5 linked regions of the Ovis aries genome follow. The protein of the gene in region 2 purifies or fractionates together with the protein of the main gene of each other region. This does not show direct contact. Links are inferred from orthologs where the notes say so. Each region holds a gene or a part of one and is shown on either strand. Other genes may lie near its edges.

Region 1 (4,232 bases), on a different chromosome or scaffold from region 2:
GAGAAGTCTCTCCTAACTTTTGTTTCCCTCCTATTCACTCACCCCTCCTCCCCATTTCTCAGCGCCCTCTGTATTATAATTTCTATTGCTCTTAATACAGTTTGTATGTTTTGCCACTAAACTGTAAACCCGGCAGTGGAGAGAACTTGTTCATTTTGTGCCTACTGAATATTAATGGTCAGCATAGTCCCTGCCCTAATAGAATGGGTGAGCAATTCTTATTTGCCAAATGAATGAAAAGCTTAAATTCCATTGCCCAGGCTGGTCTAACACCACTCTATGTTATCTTCTGAAGCAATCAGACATCCTTTCTTAGGAAAAATGTTATTTCAGTCACCTATAAGTGAATCCATATGGTTTATCAGAAGATAAACCAGAAGAGAAAAAAGCTATTAATATTATAGGTTTCCTAGGTGGGGGGAGGTCCCAGACCAACACCTAGGAACTGGGTAGAAATGCAAATTACTAGGCCCCACTCCAGACCACCTAATCAGAGAACTCAAGGGATGTAGTCCAGCATTCTGTGCTTTAACAAGCCTTCCACGGAATTCTGATGCACACTTTGAGAAGTTTAAATGTCACTGTTCTAGGCTTTCTAGTTTTTTTTTTTTAATTAAAAAGTTTGGTCCTTAATCCGTCGTTTCATCCTGCAAGTAGAATAGTACAACCTAAAACTACCCCGGAGAGTACTTTTTTCTCCTCATTCAAAGCCACCAAAGGCTTACATTCCTGTGAGGTGTGCCTTCCTCGTGGGCACAGGCCTGCCCTCCGGGTGGCCTACAATCTAACCCTTGCAGTAACACTTGTAATGTGCCACGTTGTAACAATGCGTAAGTGTAACTGAAGAAAACAAAACAAAACAAAACAGTACCAAGGCAGAGGAGCCACGGTGCAAGCCTTTGTTCCTCTCTCCTCCAACGGCTCACCCTCCGTCTGATATAGCTCTTTTCCAACCAGAAAAGGAGCCGCTCAAGATATAAAATCGGATGGGTGCCGCTGACAAGGTTTTCAATTAGGCCGTTTTCGTCGGAGCACCGGAAGATAGTTGTGGCTGTGGAATGCGATTCCATTGCTTCCTCAACCTAGCGCAGAAGTACTTGCAACGAAAAACCCCTTCCAGCTTCAGAAGGAGAACTGGAGACTCGGGCAGACCTACCCAACCCTACCTGGAGAACACCCGAAGTGGACTACCTCACCTTCGGAATGGGAGCGGCAGCCGGCGGCGCTCCTCAGTGCGCATGCTCTCTCGCCCCGCCCGCTCGGAGCCGGAAGGGGGAGCGCTCGAGGCCTAGGCCTGTCCTGGCCGGGGCGTCGGCACTGGCGGCCATCTTGGCTTCCCGGGGAAAGGCGGTGTGAGGGGAAGAAGTTGTAGGGTGGGGGCAGGAGTGAGGAGGAGGGGAGAGAGAGGGGGAGGAGGCCGCGGCGGGGCAGGGCGGGGACTGCCTGCCTGCCCGGGTTGCGGAAGTGGTAGCCGCTGACCGAGCCTGCTTCTCTCTCGCTACTGCTTCGGCTTCCCGGCTCCCCCCCAGACGGAGAGGGTGGCCCGGCCGTGGATGGTCAGATAGCTTCCACCTCCCGCCGCCCATCCCTGGCCCCAAACGGCACGGAGCAGACGGCGGCAGCAGCAGCAGCAGGCGAGGAGGAAGATGGCGGGACGGCTGCCGGCCTGTGTGGTGGACTGTGGCACGGGGTAAGGGGGCTGATGGGCGGGGGTGGGGAAACTGAGGCGGAGGCAGGAAAATGGCGGGGCCGGGAGGAGGCCGGGAGATGAATGGAGCGGCAAGGTGCTGCCGCCGGCTGTGTCAGCCCGGGCCGCGCCGGGTGGCGAGGGGTGGGGCCCGCAGTCAGGGCCTCCCTCATCCCCCGCGCTGCACCCTCTGGGAGCCGGGCGGCGGCGCGGGGCCCAGAAACCCCGGGGAGCGGCTTCCTCCGCGCCACCCCTCCCGGCCCTTCCCCCACCGCGGTGGGCAGCGCCGCCCGAGGGGCTGCGGGGACGGGCGCCTCCCCGGGGCCCGCGGTCGCGTGGGGGTGGTCTTCGAGCCCCGCACAGCCGACCCTCCTTTGCCCGGTGCCCTTTCCTGCCCGTAGGTTTGGAGACCGGGGGGAATGGAGCGCGGGGACTGGCCGGGCAAAGGAGCGAGAAAAGAGAAGCGCTCCTTGTAGGTTTTGCAAGATTGCTGTGACAACATTCTACCCGGGGTGTGGGAGGGGAAAGGGAAGAATCGGACCCTGAAAATGGGAACCTAGATCGGGGCTTTCATTGGACCACCCACCTCCTCTTCCTTTTCGACTCCCGGTCTTTTCCATCTCCCACTACGTTCCTACCGGCCAACCAACTCACATTTTAATTTGAGAGAAAGATGTCATGTGTTACTTCTCTTGCCTCAAAAAAGTCCCCCAGTGAGCAAGCGCGCTGCAACTTCCTTAGTTTTGTCAAAGCCGCTTCCTGCTTTCAGTCTTTTATACCCTTATAAGGTAGTTTTTCGTTTCCAACCTGAACACATCTTATTAGAACTTTCAAAATCAAGCAGTTTTCAAATAGGCTGAGGTACTGGTGCTAGGTATGAATTTCTGTGAACTTAAAAAGTATATTTGCGTTGCACTGAGAGGAAGGAAGTGAAGCACCCAGGAAAATTAAGTTGTATAGGTTCATTCTGTGACCGTGTCTTAAGGAGAGAAGGAAGGTAATAGAGTTGTAAAGGGAGGTACTTGCTTTTCAAGGAGTTATTATGGATCTGCAGTGTAGTTTACTAAAGTATATAACGGTGTGGAAGTGGTCGTTCCTTTTGTATTAATAGGCGTTTATAGCACACTTTATACTATCGTAGAAAATATTGCCTGTGTTTTAATGCAGAGTGACTGCTTTATGTTTCACTATTGGAAGTGTTTTCTTGTGCTTGTGAATGCTGTGCTGATACATGATTACTTCTCCAATTCCCCCAATTTTGGACGGAGTTATGAGAAGTAGATTGTCAGCCTTTCCCTTCCCTTTTTACTCTTTAGCGAACTATTGTTACTTAAAGGATGGTATACTCCTCACTCAGTTTGTTCTGTGTGAAATTTCTCTATAATCCTCATGATCATACCTTTATGAAAGTGTGGCAGTTTGTAAAATCCCAGCCGTGCAGAAGGAAATAACCGATTTATTAATATAATAATAAACCAGTGTTGTTTAGCCATGAAACTTCTATGTAGATTTTTGATGGATAGGTGATTATTTTTCTTAATCCAGTTTTATTTGCTTGAATCAGTATTTTTTTTTCCCGCCTTCCTTCTTAGTCCAGTTGGGGAGTAGTTTTATGTTTAGGGTCAGTTTTAAAATTAGATTTGGCAGCTTGACTGAGAAAGAATTTTCAAGTATGTTTTGTTACAGTGAAAAATATTGCTACATAGTTAATATTCTATGCTTTAGTAATTATTGCCTTGTCGATAAAATTAGTGTAGATAATTGTTGCCCTAATGGTAATATCTTAGGTAAGGTGTTAACTTTTTCTCATTTAATTTTTTCCCTTTTGAAATCTTGATTACGTTTGAATTAGTATGCTGGGTATTTCTTTGAGGTTAACTATCCTTAAGTGTCTTTCTGATAGGGCAGCTTTGAATTTAAAACACAGACTGAGTTACCATGAGGTGTGGGGGAGGGGGTTCAGTCTGTACTTAGGATGCTGCCCAGTCTTGGTTGTTGAGCTGTGTCCGACTCCTTGCGGCCGGGTGGACTGTAGCCTGCCAGGATCCTCTGCCCATGGAATTTTCCAGACAAGAATACTGGAGTGAGTTGCCGTTTTCTACTCCAGGGGATTTTCCCCACCCAGGAATCGAACCTGTGTCTCCTGCATTGGTAGACAGATTCTTTACCAGTGAGCCACCTGGGAAGCCCCTTGTACTTAGGATATTTTTGCTTTAATGATCAGTTATTAATTATATTACTACATTAGTTTTATCTCATAGGGAGAGGTTGTGTTAGCTGGACAGTCATGATTTAAATGAAACTGATCTAAGAATTCTTCTTACTTTCTTTTACCATCTGTCACTGTCTGAAATTCCACCTTTAGAGATCCGTTTATTTATTTGTTTATTTTTAATTTGATTGCCCATGCGGAATGTGAGATGTTAGTTCCCTGAGCAGGGATCGAACTCTTGCTCCCTGCTTTGGAAACTCAGAGTGTTAACCACCAGGGAAGTTCCAGATATATACTTATTGTGGTTTTCAGAAGGCATTTTGGTCTTTGTTG
Region 2 (2,386 bases):
AGCGGGCCCAGGGCGTGGTGCTGAAAGTGCTTACAAACTTTAAGAGCAGCGAAATCGAGCAGGCTGTGCAGTCACTGGACAGAAACGGCATTGACTTGCTAATGAAGTACATTTATAAAGGGTTTGAGAAGCCCACAGAGAATAGCAGCGCAGTGTTACTCCAGTGGCATGAAAAGGTACGTGAACACATTGCCCGCTGGCTCACCCCAGCCCAGGGTTCAGATCAACAGGCCAGGCAGTCCCAAACACAGACAGGATGGTCTGATAGGCCGTTGAGAATGAGGGCCACGCCTCAAGCAACCTGGAACATCTGAGCACTTTCCTCTCCCAAGGAAGCACTGGTAGGGGTCCACCATCTCTGGTCATTGCCATTGCTTTAGCTGAGTTTGTGCCGGGGAGGCCTTGGGGCCTGTAACTTGGCTGGTGAGGTTCAGGTAGGCTTGCTGGTGGCAGGGCTTTGACATACTTTCTTTGGGCTGGCGGAGGTGGTGATCCTGGGCCTTAGATGCAGGCTGAGCCCTCCGGTTAGCTCTGAGGGCTTCCTGCTCCAGCCTTACCTCACCAGGCCACACAGAAACAGTGGTAGATACCTTGGCAGTCTCTTAATAGGACCTTCATCCTCCTGAAGCTGGAAAAGCTGGGCCTGTCCTTTGTTTTAGTACAAGGTGTTGGGGGGTGGGTAGGGGGTGGGGGGGTGGAGGGAGGGCCACCTCTTGTCAAGCCAGTGTCCCTCATGAAAGGCTCTGCCGAGTACTAAGGGAGTGGCCCTTAACTGAGGGGTCAGTCACATGGCCAGCCTCAGGCCTGGGCTGAATTGTGGCCTTTGGTGCTGCTGGTGGGTGTTCTGCCTGCCCTGCCAGAAGGTGAGCTCCTGGGCTTCGTAATGGAGGTGGCTATGGTGCTTGGGAGCTGAGCAAAGCCCTTGGAGTCGTCTGAGGGGCCACGCTCTCTGGTCCCTTCATGGCAGCCGGATGCATGAGCCTGTGGACATTTCCACTGCAGTGGGCTAGTGTCTGTTTTAGGGCCTAGGGCTGTTTCTGGATACAGTGAGCTTGTCAAAGGGAAACTGGGGGGCTCTGTGAGCTTGGTGACAGTGTTGCAAGCCCAGTTCTCCTGCCTTAAAGAGCCAACAGCTTTTGGGGACCCTTTGTTCCAGGAAAGGGCTCGATCCGTCGAATGCAGGCCCTGTTGACACCTCTTCTGTGCTCTCGCAGGAATGCTTTTTCAGAAGATCTGTGACATGGTCAGGAGTGTAGTCCTGTCTCCCCTGGCAAGAAGCTAGGAGCCCCTTGGCCAGCCAGGTCTCAATTGACACCTTTTCTTTTGCTGCCCCTACAGGCATTAGCAGTAGGAGGACTAGGCTCCATTATAAGAGTTCTTACAGCAAGAAAGACTGTTTAAAAAAAAAAGAGAGAGACTCATGTTACCTCAAGAAGAATTTTGGATGCACAGGCTGTCGAAGAAGGGATTGACAATGGGCCGCCTGTCTCGGAACTCCCAAGTCAACTATTTCACGACCTGCATCCGCTGAAGTGTTTTATTTTCAAGGTGGAGGGAGAGATCGTCTGTTTTCATAAATCCTTTGCAGGATCTGATAGTCTATGCCTTTGTCCACGAGTAACGCAGAACTGACATTTTGACTCTACCAGAGTGGCTGGCCCGCCTTGGTCCGGGGTACCTGTGTGCACTGCCTGTTTAAAAGGAGGGAGGGGTGGTTTGGGCAGGTGCAGATCCAAGGGCTGCGGTAAAAGGGAGAGCTAGGTTTTTTTTTGAAGCGGAAACCCCCGAGGGTTTGTACAGACACCCCGACCTCCCAGAGAAGGCGGGCTCTCTTGGGTTCATTGTAAAGTGCCTGCTGCATCAATAAAGCTCTTGGCTTATTAGTATATACTCTGCCGTGTGTTTCATGTGTATAAAAGGAACGGGAAATAAATGGGATGGTCATGGATGAGAGGTGGCCTGTTCTGGAAACTGGACGTGGAGTGGTAGACAGACAAAACTCCCTGCAGAGCTGCCTGGGAGCGAGCGTGGTGTTCTCACTCTGGCTGCAGCGGTCCCTCGAGCCTGGGCCACAGTGCTGCTGGCTGCTACACAGACATGTTTTGCTGAATAACTATTGTTTTTACTCCTCTGATTTGTATGTAGTTTTGGAGCTTATTTAATAAAGTCTTCAGTTTGTGTGATTGCACTTGGGAGTCCTGGGAGTGGGCTCAGGTGTGCCCATCAACCCCTCCGGACGCTGGGCTTGGCTGTTCGCCAGGAAGACTGTGATGCTGAGGGGTTTTCTTTACAGGAGGGAGAGACAAACAGGTAGGAACAAGCCTGTACACAGACAAGGCACATTTTGTTCCCTGTAACCGCTGACAGTGGGCCTGTCTGAAGAGCA
Region 3 (4,222 bases), on a different chromosome or scaffold from region 2:
TAGATGTTTTTTTGGAAATCTCTTGCTTTTTCTTTTTTCTGTGGCCCTCGAGTATGCAAAGGGCAAAAACACCCTGATCTAATGTTACTGTCATGTGAGAGAGTCAGAAAAATAAGACACCTTTTCATTTGCCCTCCTCATCCTGCTTGAGCTATACCTCCCTCATTTAGCCTTATGGAGAGTTTGGTGTGTGCTCAGATGGTAAAGAATCTGCCTGCAATTCAGGAGATCTGGGTTCAGGGTTCTCCAGGGAAGAACCCCTGGAGAAGGGCATGGCAACCCACTCCAGTATTCTTGGCCTGGAGAATTCCATGGACAGCAGAGCCTGGTGGGCTACAGTCTATGGAGTCACAAAGAGTTGGACACGACTGAGTGACTAACACACAAGAGGAGGCTTTTTTGATGGGAGCAAAGTAGCCCCACAGTCACCCTCATTAGAGGTTTCCTTGTGTATAATTAGTCTTAAGGGCCCAGTAGATCAGCTCGATCAGGGAAGACTATCTTTACCATCTGAGACCACCAAGGAAGTCTCCTCCTAAAAGGTAAAATTTGGCCAGAAATATAAATGAGAAATCAATTGTGGGAACATGGGACAAAGTAATTCCTTCTGTGGGACTGGCAAAAGAAATGGCCAGAAGCAGCAGTGAACTTGGCTTTTAACCTGAGGTGCTTTCCGGTAAAGATTAAGAATTCCTTAGCTTTTAGTATGTTCCAGGCATGTAAGTTCTAAGCACATTCCATGCAATTCATTTCCTCACAAAACTCAGGTAATCACTGTTATCTCCATTTTCAGATGAGGAAACTGAGGTATGGAGGTTAACTTGCCAAGGTGACACAGCCAATAAATGTTGGAGCTGGATTCAAACCAATTTTTTCTCAACCATTACACAAAGAATCGCAGTACGTAATCACACAAGAGTAGTACACAAATCCCTTCTGTGATCATTTTTTCCTTTTTAAAATCAGTGGACTGAGTTCCTTCTCTTACTCAACACATGTTATTGATGCTTACCTTGTACCGTCCTGTTACAGGTGTAGGGATATAAGCAGTGAACAAAACAGACAGTCCTTGCATTTTTGACGTTCATACGAATGGACAGAGACAAAACCCAAAAGTAAAACATGAATCATAAGAACTGAGGGAAAGGGCAGTGAAGTGGGACTGAATTTAGGATGACCCAGGGAATGCTACTGAAAAGGTGGTCTTGGAGAAAAAACGAAAGAGGTGATATATCTAGGATTCTGTAACCCCGAAATCCACCTCATTCTCGCCCACACTTCACGCAGGCGCGATACTCAGAGCCCCTGCCTAGGGTTCGAGCGCCCCCTGGTGCCCTGTCGGATCCGCGCAGCTGCAGCGGCTAGCCACATACTGCGAGGCCGGAAGCGCGGCGTCCTGCCCTCGCCCTCCCCTTCCGGCTCACTTCCGCCTACCCCGCCCGGGCTGCCAGACCGGAACCGCCGATCTCTACCCAGATTCTCTTCGTTGGGTTTGAAACCGGGGCGCCTCCAAAATGCCGGTAAGTGGGCCAAAGTGGGGGTGTCGGGAGACGGCGGGGATTTGAGAGAGTCGCGAGAAGTCTTGCGTGCGGTGAGAAAAGTAGGCCGAGGAGGGCAGAGAGAAAGCAGGGGCCTGAGAAGGGGAAAGGCCAGAGGAGAGGGACCGGCCTCTGTGGGATTAGGGCGGCCCGGGGATGTCGGCCGGCCGTGGAGGAACAGGGCATGGCAGAGTGGGCCAGAGACCCGGGGCGTGCTGAGGAGACTGCCACAGGTCTGCCCCCTCCTCTCCAAGCTTGATCCTTTTTATCGCTTTTTGCGCCTCTGCCCGTCCCCCCGATTCCAGCGGGGTTCCCAAAGCCTCACTAGAGCCGTGAAGGCAAGGGCTGCCCTTTTAATTTCTCATATCACAGCTAGGGCCCGGCTTCTTTTTTTTTTCCCTGTAGGCCCACTTCCTCCTTTGCCTCTGGAGGCGGGTCCCTTATGCTGCCTGTCGCCTGTCCGACCCCACTTCCCTGACTCCTCCTCCCCTGTCGCCCCGGCAGTGGCTGCCACCCCTGAGCCGCTGGGTTTAGGGCTCTCAGAGCAGGTGCAAGGTCCGCGCCTAGTTTCCACATGTTTGTTTAATGTGCATCAGAGTAGGAGTTAAAATTGATGGTGGTTTGGTTGTTCTTAATTTCTGACAGTCACGGGTAGATTTATCACCATCATGGTCTCCATTTTGCAGATGAGGAAAAAGCATGTTCAGTAACATGTGATGTTTAGCATCTGCTGCATGCCAAAGCACTATTACAGCGGTGAATAAGGCCAACAAGTCCCTATTCTTAAGGAGTCTACATTCTAATGAGGAGACATAATCTGTGAATGTGAATAAAATGGGGGGATTGTTTAAGATAGTGGCAAATGCCATGAAGGTAATAAGACAGCATAGCTAGTGCAGGTGAGACAAGGGGCTGCGTTAGGTGAAGCACATCGGTAATAAAAAGGAGTAAACCATAGTTAAGGTTTGGTGAATCCCATAGCTACCATTTGACTCCTGATGCATGTCAGGCCAACTCTGAGCTACACAGTTTGTATAAATTATTCCCTAATTAATCCTCAGAGTGATTATGAAGTGGATATGTTAGTGGTTTTTCATTTTGCAGAGGAGAAAGTTGAGGCTCAGAGAAGTTAAGTAACTTGCCCAAAGTTGCACACTAGTGTGTAACACACCAGTATGTGTGTGTGTGTTGTGTGTTTGTATTGGGGTGTAGTAGATTTAACAATGTTGTGATAGTTTAAGGTTAACAGCAAAGGGACTCAGCCATATATATACATGTATCTGTTCTTCCCCACACTCCCCTCCCATCCAGGCTGCCACATTACAATGGGCAGAGTTCCATGTGCTGTACAGTAGGTCGTTGTTGGTTATCCATTTTAAATCCATTTTCGCATAAGTTAAAGTTAGTCACTCGATTGAGTCTGACTCTTTGGGATCCCATGGGTCCTACTAGGCTCCTCTGTCCTAGGCAAGAATCCTGGGCTCCTCCTCTAGGCAAGAATACTGGAATGGGTTGCCATTTCCTCCTCCAGAGGATCTTCCCAACCCAGGGACTGAACCCAGGTCTCCTGCATTGCAGGCAGATTCTTTACCATTTGATCCACCAGGGAAGCCCTTAAATACATAAGCACGCTAGTAAATCTTGATAAAGCCAGATTTTAAGCCAGAACCCTAATGCCTTGTACTCATCATTCCAGGTGCACAAAGAGCACCCTTGACCTCCCCTGTGATGACTTACTTATTTTCTGTCTCCTCTATTCACCTGACAGAGCCAGGGCTGGTCTTGCATGCCAATATCTCCACATGCCTTGCACACAGAAGGTACTTAGTAATCTTTTGATGAATAAATGACTGGGGCCCATGTTGTCTTACAAAAAGCCAGACATCTTGTAAAATGCCGAACTAGAAATTGGCCTATAAATTGTTCTCATAAATGTGATTTTTTTCCTCTCTCCGCTAACTCACATCCACCCACTTAAAACAAGTATATATGTTTTTATTTTACAAATGTAGAAATAGGCTAAGAGAAGAAAAGTGATGTCTTAAGGCATAAAGCCAGAAAGTGGCAGAGCTGAAGAGCCAGTTCTTTGATTGTGGTTTTAACACCAGCTGGGTTGCTGGGTACCTCTGATTTATATAGTGTTTGCCTATTTCTATAGTGTGAATACCTCACCAGTTACCAATGTTCTGTCACCAGATGTGAAATTGGAAGGAAAGCACAGTAGCACCTTATCATACAGTGTTTCCACCGTAGGTGCAAAAGGCATAACTAACCTTAAGATCACAGACATTGGTAAAATAATTTTAAAATAGGAAATAATGAAAGTGTCAAATATTTATTACCTTTGTTTTTAATATAATTTATTTAATTGAAAATTTCTATAACTTTATTTTTAATAATGGCTGTGTTCAACAATTAGCTTGCCTCAAATTTTCTCAGAATTCCTGAAACTTTGATAGTTTTCATGAGCCAGTTTATCTTGGATGAATTATTTTTTTCCTTGGGGAAGTGTACTTGTTTGCCCCAGTGACATTTGCTCTCTTTCTGCTTCTGTGTTCTTACCTGGCTTGTCCTTACAGGCTTACCACTCTTCCCTCATGGACCCTGACACCAAACTCATTGGAAACATGGCACTATTGCCTATCAGAAGTCAGTTCAAAGGACCTGCCCCTAGAGAAAGTAAG
Region 4 (4,275 bases), on a different chromosome or scaffold from region 2:
CCATTCACGGCATCCAGACTGCAGAGCAGGTAACACAGAGCAGCATAAACGTTAGTTTCTGGTTCTGATCACTGGTCTGTGAACGCATGTTCTCATAAAGGATATACTGAAGTACCCTGGTGTAAACAGCAGGATGGCTGCAACTCACAAACAGTTCAGAAAGATAATAACGCATAAAGTATACAGAGAACAATAAAGCAAATGTTAGTAGTTAGAATGCTGGATGGAGACTATATAGCATTTTCTTGGTACTCTTCTTGCAGCTTTTCAGTAGATTTGAACTTTCTCAAAATAAGTTTAAAGAATACAAAAATCTTCAGAACTACAAGTTCAGTTAAGAAAAGTGAGGCTATTCTCTGAACACTCTGGAGCCCAGTAACTCACTTAAGTGGACGAAGCTTCATCTGTGGAGCAGGCAGAGCTGTGGTCCATGTCATCCCACCCCCAAGAACACGTGTGCTCACCAAGCTGGTCTCAGGGTTTACTAGATGAGGCCAGGCTCCCAGGATGAAATTTATTTGCTATTTTTAAAAAGCACCATTGAGTATACTGTCTACTCAATCATAAATGTCCACTATCAGTGTGAATCTTTCTTTTAGAATTTAGTACTAGAGAAAGCTCTTTCGCCTGAGAAACAGGTATTTCTCTTCTTCCCTGATGACAGGAATTACATAACTGACGATGACTCTCTCATAATCTTGTCATACAGGAAGGCCAAGCTTGAGACCAACCAGCTGCACTGTGGGCCTACAGTTTAAGGTGATTTTCCAGGCCTGTTCCTTTCTTCGGTCCTAGTTATATTTATCTGCATTTTATCCCTTTTTATCCCATTTTGAGTTAAAGGTCAATCCAAAGTCACTTGGCTCTGCAGGACATATAAGAAGCAGTAATATGCTTAAATAAACTTGGGCTCTTCCAGGCTCCTCCTCCTGGCCACACACTGGACACTGGAAATTCCTGACTGACCATCACCGTTCCCACAAAAGACTATGTCCATGTGAAACCCACTGGCAGGATCCCTGGCCACTATTTCTAGTCCTGACACAACGCCTACAACAGCCTGAAGACGATACATAACTTGGGGCCAGAAGACAAAGATATCCTGAAGTTATACCGCCACGTGAGATACCACCTACCTCAGACGGTCATAACTGAGCACCACACTTTGGTATTTATAGCAAGAATGATGAGTAAGGCTCCCAGCTTACTAATATTAAAGGTATGACAAACCCTGTGGGCACATTTTGTTGCTTCTACCAAGAAATACTTTGTATTTCAACAGTTTTATAAGACCAAAACCACAAAAACCTCACGTGCAAATGTGGGGATGAAAGATTCTTTGACCAGCTGCCTTCTCTCCTGACACAACCAGACCTCAGGTGGGTGTGGGGTGAATACCAGATGGTGGGAGGAGATGCATAAGGAAGCCAGTATTTGGGGGTGGGGGTGTTCCTATCAACACTGCTTTTGGCTCAGGTTCTGGGTAGCAAAACAACTACTGAAATAAAGAGCCCCAAAACTTCTGGTACAACGTGTATCTCTGAAAGGAAAATTAATATATGCAAAGAAGCAGTTTTTTCCAGATTGTAACCACTCCTTTTTCTGCAGCAAAAGGAAAGAACAATCCGTAGGAGATGGACTGTAGCAAATTAAGGAAGACACCCCCACAAGGTTGTCAAGGAAACTGAACCAAGTGCGTTTCTCTACAGAGAAGAATCAAGGCTACCGTGAACGTGCCATGGAATATTCTGTGGCAAAAAATGACTAAAATCCCCTCTTGAAAAATCTTTCTAAGAGGCTAAACTTACTTCTGGGCTATTTTATTAAGCACTTCACCTACAGTGCAAGCAGGCAAGCTTGACTTTCTAAACCAAAACCTAAATGGATTCAGCGAGCACCTTCCTAAAAATGATCGGAGCCTGGGCCACTGGAAAGGACCGGGAGATTTCCGAAGGGTCTCTTTGGCATATCCCAACATCAAAAGAAGCAATCACGGCCCACAAGTAACGGGCTGGGGGCGGGGGGCAGACATAGAAACTATACTACCACCAACAGCCTTTCCCACATTTTGGTTTTTCTGTTTTTCAAAATGGAGCCTTTTTTAACATTTTTAAGTGCAAAGGCAACTCTAGGCAAACTAAAGCAAGACCTTAGCCTGACTGAACCATTCAATACTGGAAGAGGACAGAGTAGGCTGCAAACACACACACGCACGCACACACACACACACACACACACACACACTTTTTTTTAAAGATGTCAACTTGGGAGACGGTTGTAAAAACCTCCCACAAGTAAGTGATAAAGAAGCCCTATCAGGGAGGAGAAATGGCATGCGCTTAGGGACCCAGGACGAGGGCCACTTTTGAAGAGAAGGCAGGGGCGCCGTGAGGCAGGCGGAAGGCGAGGGAACGGCAGCGGGGTGCGCAGCCCGCACCCCCGGGAGGCGTACGGGTCCCGGGGAGCCCCGGCCGAGCGCAAGGAGGAGGCGGGGAGGCCACGTCTCCCCTCGGCTCCCTCCCCAGCAAGGTGAGTGAGTCAGGGGGCCCCTGGACAGGTGAGGGCCGCGACCCGGGCCCGGGGCACCCCAGGTGAGACCAGGGGGCCGGGCCGCGGGGCAGGCAGGGGCAGGCGCGCCGGGGCCGGAGCGGGCGCCCGCGGCTCTTACCCGGTGCCGCAGTCCACCACGCAGGGAGGCAGGGAGCCCGCCATGCTCGGCCCACGCGGCCGGCTCCGGAGGCTCCCCGGATCGCCGGCCCGCTCGCCGCCCCGCGCCACCGCCGGGCTCCCGGGAGCCTCCGCAGCGCCGCCGCCGGGAGCCCGGATGCTCGCCGCCGGCACACGTGACGCCCCGCCCACCCCCGCCTGGCCAATCACTACGATGACACGCCCTGTCCCCGCCCCCGGCCGCCCGCCATCTTTAGTGCTGGCAGCGGGGCCTCGTTCCCTGTACGTCCCACCTCGCTGCGGGAGAGGCTTTGAGCTCTTCTGACTTACCGTGGACTTGACCCCGAAGCCTGACTCCTCATCCTTTTAAGTCTCCTCTCAGATGTCACCTTCTCAAGGAAGCTGTCCCTGCTCATCTGCTAGGTGCCCCCTCACCCCCCTGCACCTTACTCACTATCTCAACAATCTATTGCTTTGCTTCACAACATTTGGAGCAAATTTATACCGTGTGTATATATTTATTTGTACTCCTATAGCAGGCTATAGGCTCCGCTAGATACGGCTCCTGAATGTCTTCCCACTGATGACAAGGATGCGCAGCAGAGTACTTGGTGCATTCATGCTGCTGCTGCTGCTAAGTCGCGTCAGTCGTGTCCGACTCTGTGCGACCCCATAGACGGCAGCTCACCAGGCTCCCCCGTCCCTGGGATTCTCCAGGCAAGAACACTGGAGTGGGTTGCCATTTCCTTCTCCAATGCATGAAAGTGAAAAGTGAAAGTGAAGTCGCTCAGTCGTGTCCGACTCTTAGCGACCCCATGGCTCCTCCGTCCATGGGATTTTCCAGGCAAGAGTACTGGAGTGGGGTGCCATCGCCTTCTCCGGGAAACACCCAAATGTTTTCTGAATAAAGAAAAAAAAACCTTGACGTTAGAATTCTTACACCTGTCAGAACACTGCATGCTTTCCTCTATAGAAGAAAAACCTGTGCAACAAATGCACGGACAGCTTTAAGGGGTGATTGACCTTCGATCAGGTTAACACTACACCAGGATCATTATGGAACATATTCTCAAGTATCAAAGGTGAAGTGATGTCCAAAAGATCTTCCTGGAACCCGGACCAAAGTTCACACCACTTACCAACTATGTTATGAAGGTCGAGAAGATTCCACTTGCTTCCTCCTCCCTCCCTATCATATATTCCTGACCTTACTTTTTAGGACTCTTCTGGAGATGTAGTTCCAGGCAGTTTAACTGGTATTAAAAGCATTTTTAAACTGCTTTTCCGTATGAGAAGTAGTGGTAGATTACTTGATCATGTTAGACAACCCATGATGATTCCTTTTTTGTTTGAGGGTGTTTTGTTTTTTTTTTTTTTTTCCTATACTGGAGAAGGAAATGGCAACCCACTCCAGTATTCTTGCCTGGAGGATCCCATGGGCGGAGGAGCCTGGTGGGCTACAGTTGATGGTGTCGCAAAGAGTCGGACACGACTGAGCCACTTCACTTTCATTCAGGTCAAATAAGGCCCAGATCTAGGAAATTTTTGAGGAACCTAGAAAGAAAAGTAGAAGGTGGGAAGAAAAGAAAGGTGAGGAGTATGGAGGAA
Region 5 (4,062 bases), on a different chromosome or scaffold from region 2:
ATGTCAGCATTGCCACTGATTTCCATCAAAATCTTCCCGGAGTCTCAAAAACCTCTGGCCCTGTTTCCTCAGTTATAGAACATGATGGTTTCACTTAAGAGCCCCTGAAGAACTAAGAGTCTACCATCCAGAATGGCTCATAAAATATGAAAGAAAATGCATCAAATGGTAAGCTTTGTTTAGGCTGAAATGCAAAATATTAACTCAAAAGATAGAATCAGTGATTAACATTAAAATGTCTCATTGTTACTCTTCTGGGGCTAAATTATTTCTTACCTTGTCATTTATCATAAAGAGTCTGGTATTACTGATTTGTATGTATCCCTCTCATTTACCCAGCCTATAAACCCCTTCAAAGAAGGAACTGTCCTTTGTAAAGAGGTGGGATCTAACTAAAACACTGATGGCATTTTGACCCTGGGTAACAACTCTACATCCGGATTCGTTCATCTGACTTGGAGACATAAGAGGAATCCTCGCTTCCACGTGCGGTCCTTCCCCTGCCAGGATGCTGTCTCCAGGAGAGAATAATTAACTGAAAATGATCTTTCCACTCTCAATGTGCCCTAGAACGCCCTAGGACCAAAGATAACTATTTATTCCAGGGCATTAGCGCTGAATAAACAGCCCCAGAGAAGACAGTACGTGTGGCTGTTAAGTCGGGAATCTGACAAGTTCACTGTGGTGAACATCACCTGACAAGTTTCCGGGTCAATCACCCCAGGGACAGGAGAGCTGGTCCATAATTTCTGACTTCAAGGGCAGCCAGTCTGGTGGAAAGAGGGGTTCAGGTCACTGTCTTCCTGAGTTTGGGGGACGGCTGAACTCCCCCAACTCCTGGGTCCTGTGGCGCCAGCTCGGGAGCAGGGAACGATTCTGACCCAAGAAGGGTAGAGAACGTTCCTTGGAGAGACCTCCACAGAGGGAGGGCGGGCTCTGAAGAGGCCTCCTCACAGAGGGAGGAAAAAAAAGTAGGGATTTGTCCGTTCGTTTGGCTCAAAAGGTCCCAATTCTCAGGAATTCATTCCGTGACCAAAGCACTTGAGAAAGCGCCAAGGCTCCGCGCTTCGGTCCTCGAGTCTCAGGACATTTTGCGAGGAAAGCACCAAGAGGTCTACGCTGCCCCGCCACCAGCTCCCAGCGGTCTCTGGACGCAAACTCCTTAGAAGCCGCCCGACCCTTCCCCGCAGCGCGCGCGCCCCGGGGCGCGCGTGCGCCGACAGCCCGCGCCGCCGCGCCGCGCAGGCGCCGTGGCCACTTCCGGGAACTGTCAGCCGCTCCCTCTGGGCCTCGGTCCTCCGCCCGCGCCCGCCGGAGCCTGTTCGCGTCGACTGACCAGAGTCCGCGAATTCAACGCTCCGAGCCCGTCCGGACGGCCCCGATCCCAGGTAAGGGGCAGCGGGGGCGAGGTTCGGGCCCTGCTGGCCTCCCCTGGCCCGGGCCTCGCTCCCGATCTGTACCTGCGGGGGCAGCAAGGCGGGGGCTTAGGCCGCGGGGCCCGGAGGCGGAGGGGAGGGGCGGGCCGGGGGAGGGGGCGGGGAGGCGGTGTTCTCTGAGGGGCCTGCCGAGCCCTGGGGTCCCCGCACGCCCAGATCCATCTCTCAGCGATTTCCAAGTTCCGATGCTCCTCCAATGCCAGAATGAAAGATCGCTTCTCCTGCGCTTCCATTGTGGGCGTTTATCACAGGCGCTAAAATTGTAGTGAATGGGATCACCACCCCCACCCTATCGCGCGTCGCGAGGCACGGTTCATTCCTTTAGCTTCAGCGTCTAGAATAGGGTCCCTGAGCGCAGTAAGCGCCCCTGGAGTGTCTGTTCCTGTCTAGGGCAGCCCTGCATCCTTCAGCTATAGGGGGAACCTTTCCGAACCGGCGAAGAAGCCTCCCCCGAGTTCTTTAAGAATCTCCCCGCTTGAGTGCCTCTTTCCCCTAAGTCGCGGTCGACCCCCGGCGCTCCTAGTCCTCCGTGCAACCTTTAGCACCTTTTCTCATTTCTAATCCTCGAGTCGGACTGCCCAGCCTCCCTCCCATCCCGGCACCACGACTGCTTGGATGACCCTGGGAAGATTGCTGGTCTGAATCCCCGTTTTCTCATCTACATTTATAAGATCCTTAAGGGGTTTCTGAGGCTCCAGTGAGCTTATTTGCATACATTGCTTAGGATAGCCCCTGTCCCTTAGTATGTGCTCAATTAAGTTTTATTCGTGCTTCTTATATTGTCTGTGTGTCTTCCCTTCCTCTTCTACCCTTCTCCCCCCAGATTTGTGGACCAGAGAAGTGTCAGATTTATTTATGTTTCTGGTCCCAACCTGGTATTGCTCCACTGCTGGGAATATGGTAGGCCCTTTAATACACTGTGGGCTTCCCTGGTAGCTCAGATGGTAAAGCATATTTATCTCCTCCCTGCAATGCAGGAGACCTGAGTTCGATCCCTGGGTTGGGAAGATCCCCTGGAGAAGGAAATGACAACCCACTCCAGTATTCTTGCCTGGAAAATCCCGTGGTTAGAGGAGCCTGATAGATTATAGTCCATGGGGTCGCAAAGAGCTGGACACGACTAAGCAACTTCACTTTCTTTAATACATTGTAGTTTAGAATCTTTTATTATAAAGCCATCTGTTCTCATACTGGGGCTTTGGAACCAGAAGGCAGTGCTAACCTACTTTTATCTAATTCAACTCCTTGCCGAAATTACCTAAATTATCCTAGTTCTGCCCTCTTTCTTTAATCAGTTTCTAAATCTAGCCTTTTAGTATCCAATAGACCCTGGGTGTTTCAAGTATCTATTAAAAAAAAAAAAGGAGAGAGTATCATTCAGGAGGATATTTTTGCCACGTGAGGGAGTAGGTGTAAGTGGCTGCTTCTACCTCAAAGTATTTGGAGACCTTCCAAGGTTAATTCATCTGCTTATCACAGTTAAAGGAGGGGATCATCTTGGAAAAATAAATCTCCTGCTAGGAGGGAGAGGATCAGTAATTCCATCTAGTTAACTAATCCTATGCCGAAACAGGTTCTGCCTAATGAGGTTTAGTCTGCTGGTTGAGGCTGGAATTGGAACCTGTCCCTGAACACTGTAGAGGGTGTGGTGACCTTGTCAGAGTACCTGGTAGTGCTGGGTTGGGTGATGAGAGCAATTAAAAACTGGATGAATCACAGTCTAGAGCACTGACCTTAAGTAGGGAACTGACATCCCTACTGTACAATTACTTTAAAGCTCCAGGGCCAGGAAGGTGTTCCCAATTCAGAGGGTACTCCCTGGAGTGTATTTCTGGGGCTGGGTCAGAGGGAGAAAGGGAACTCATTTATTGAGTATCTCTTTGGGGGTAGGCTTTGAACCACATGTGTTCATGTGCTTTCTCATTTAATCCTCCCACCACTGGCCTTGCGATGTCAGTTCTATGTCCATTTCACAGATGAAGAAAAATGAGTTTGGGAGATAGCAAGTGACCTGCCCAGGATTTCCTGGCTAGTGTGTATTAAAGCCAGGATTCAAACCCAGGTCCCCTTGACTCCACCGCCCATGGCTCAAGTGATAGGTAGAGACTCAAGTGATAGGTAGAGAAAGGAACTGAGGGATGGAGGGGTCCCCTGGAGTCATATCGTGCTACAAAGAAGTCATTCTCTCCCTTTCCATGCTGGCCATTAAAAGGTCATCAGTAGAAGTTTGTTAATATCATCACCTTTTTTTGTCTGTCCCTTTTTCTTCTCTCTATCTTCAATAAGATAAGCTTTTTTTTCACTTAAGTAGAAATCACAGTTTAGAAATGATAATTATCACCCTAGGACAGGTTTCTTTTTCTTGGTGGAAAAAAAAAAAAACCCCAAGCTGTCATTATTCTACTTTCACTGAGTTTCGTGAACACATGCTGTGTTCACTGGTGGTGTCTTATGAATTGGACGAACATGAATGTTGTCTTGGTCTACAGACTTAAAATAGCCACATGATTATAGAAGTACAGGTCCTGAGTGTAGGTCCAAATATGGAACCTGAATGATATAACAAAATTAGAAGTGCAGTTTTAGAAGTTAATTATGCCATTGAGTAAATGTTTACCTCTTTTGA

Evidence for each region.
Region 1: the proteins of ARPC5L (region 2) and ACTR3 purify together in Homo sapiens (affinity purification with mass spectrometry; 6 studies listed by BioGRID and IntAct, counting the BioPlex papers as one, with this or other methods). This does not show direct contact. The link is inferred for Ovis aries from reciprocal best matches to the Homo sapiens genes ARPC5L and ACTR3.
Region 3: the proteins of ARPC5L (region 2) and ARPC3 purify together in Homo sapiens (affinity purification with mass spectrometry; 7 studies listed by BioGRID and IntAct, counting the BioPlex papers as one, with this or other methods). This does not show direct contact. The link is inferred for Ovis aries from reciprocal best matches to the Homo sapiens genes ARPC5L and ARPC3.
Region 4: the proteins of ARPC5L (region 2) and ACTR3B purify together in Homo sapiens (affinity purification with mass spectrometry; 3 studies listed by BioGRID and IntAct, counting the BioPlex papers as one, with this or other methods). This does not show direct contact. The link is inferred for Ovis aries from reciprocal best matches to the Homo sapiens genes ARPC5L and ACTR3B.
Region 5: the proteins of ARPC5L (region 2) and ARPC1A fractionate together in Homo sapiens (co-fractionation; 7 studies listed by BioGRID and IntAct, with this or other methods). This does not show direct contact. The link is inferred for Ovis aries from reciprocal best matches to the Homo sapiens genes ARPC5L and ARPC1A.

What each region holds. Positions count from the first base shown.
Region 1 is NC_056055.1:178,988,741-178,992,972, forward strand, and holds the start of ACTR3 (actin-related protein 3), read left to right. Parts: upstream 1-1,432; 5' UTR 1,433-1,646; coding exon 1,647-1,690; exon of another isoform or gene 1,691-2,402; intron 2,403-4,232. UniProt on the Homo sapiens protein: ATP-binding component of the Arp2/3 complex, a multiprotein complex that mediates actin polymerization upon stimulation by nucleation-promoting factor (NPF).
Region 2 is NC_056056.1:11,024,877-11,027,262, reverse strand, and holds the end of ARPC5L (actin-related protein 2/3 complex subunit 5-like protein), read left to right. Parts: coding exon 1-176; intron 177-1,338; coding exon 1,339-1,401; 3' UTR 1,402-1,886; downstream 1,887-2,386. UniProt on the Homo sapiens protein: May function as component of the Arp2/3 complex which is involved in regulation of actin polymerization and together with an activating nucleation-promoting factor (NPF) mediates the formation of branched actin networks.
Region 3 is NC_056070.1:54,364,323-54,368,544, reverse strand, and holds the start of ARPC3 (actin-related protein 2/3 complex subunit 3), read left to right. Parts: upstream 1-1,422; 5' UTR 1,423-1,514; coding exon of another isoform or gene 1,515-1,520; intron 1,521-3,306; 5' UTR 3,307-3,340; coding exon 3,341-3,358; intron 3,359-4,117; coding exon 4,118-4,217; intron 4,218-4,222. UniProt on the Homo sapiens protein: Component of the Arp2/3 complex, a multiprotein complex that mediates actin polymerization upon stimulation by nucleation-promoting factor (NPF).
Region 4 is NC_056057.1:116,721,384-116,725,658, reverse strand, and holds the start of ACTR3B (actin-related protein 3B), read right to left. Parts: upstream 2,801-4,275; 5' UTR 2,713-2,800; coding exon 2,669-2,712; intron 1-2,668. UniProt on the Homo sapiens protein: Plays a role in the organization of the actin cytoskeleton.
Region 5 is NC_056077.1:37,483,597-37,487,658, reverse strand, and holds the start of ARPC1A (actin-related protein 2/3 complex subunit 1A), read left to right. Parts: upstream 1-1,262; 5' UTR 1,263-1,388; intron 1,389-4,062. UniProt on the Homo sapiens protein: Probably functions as a component of the Arp2/3 complex which is involved in regulation of actin polymerization and together with an activating nucleation-promoting factor (NPF) mediates the formation of branched actin networks.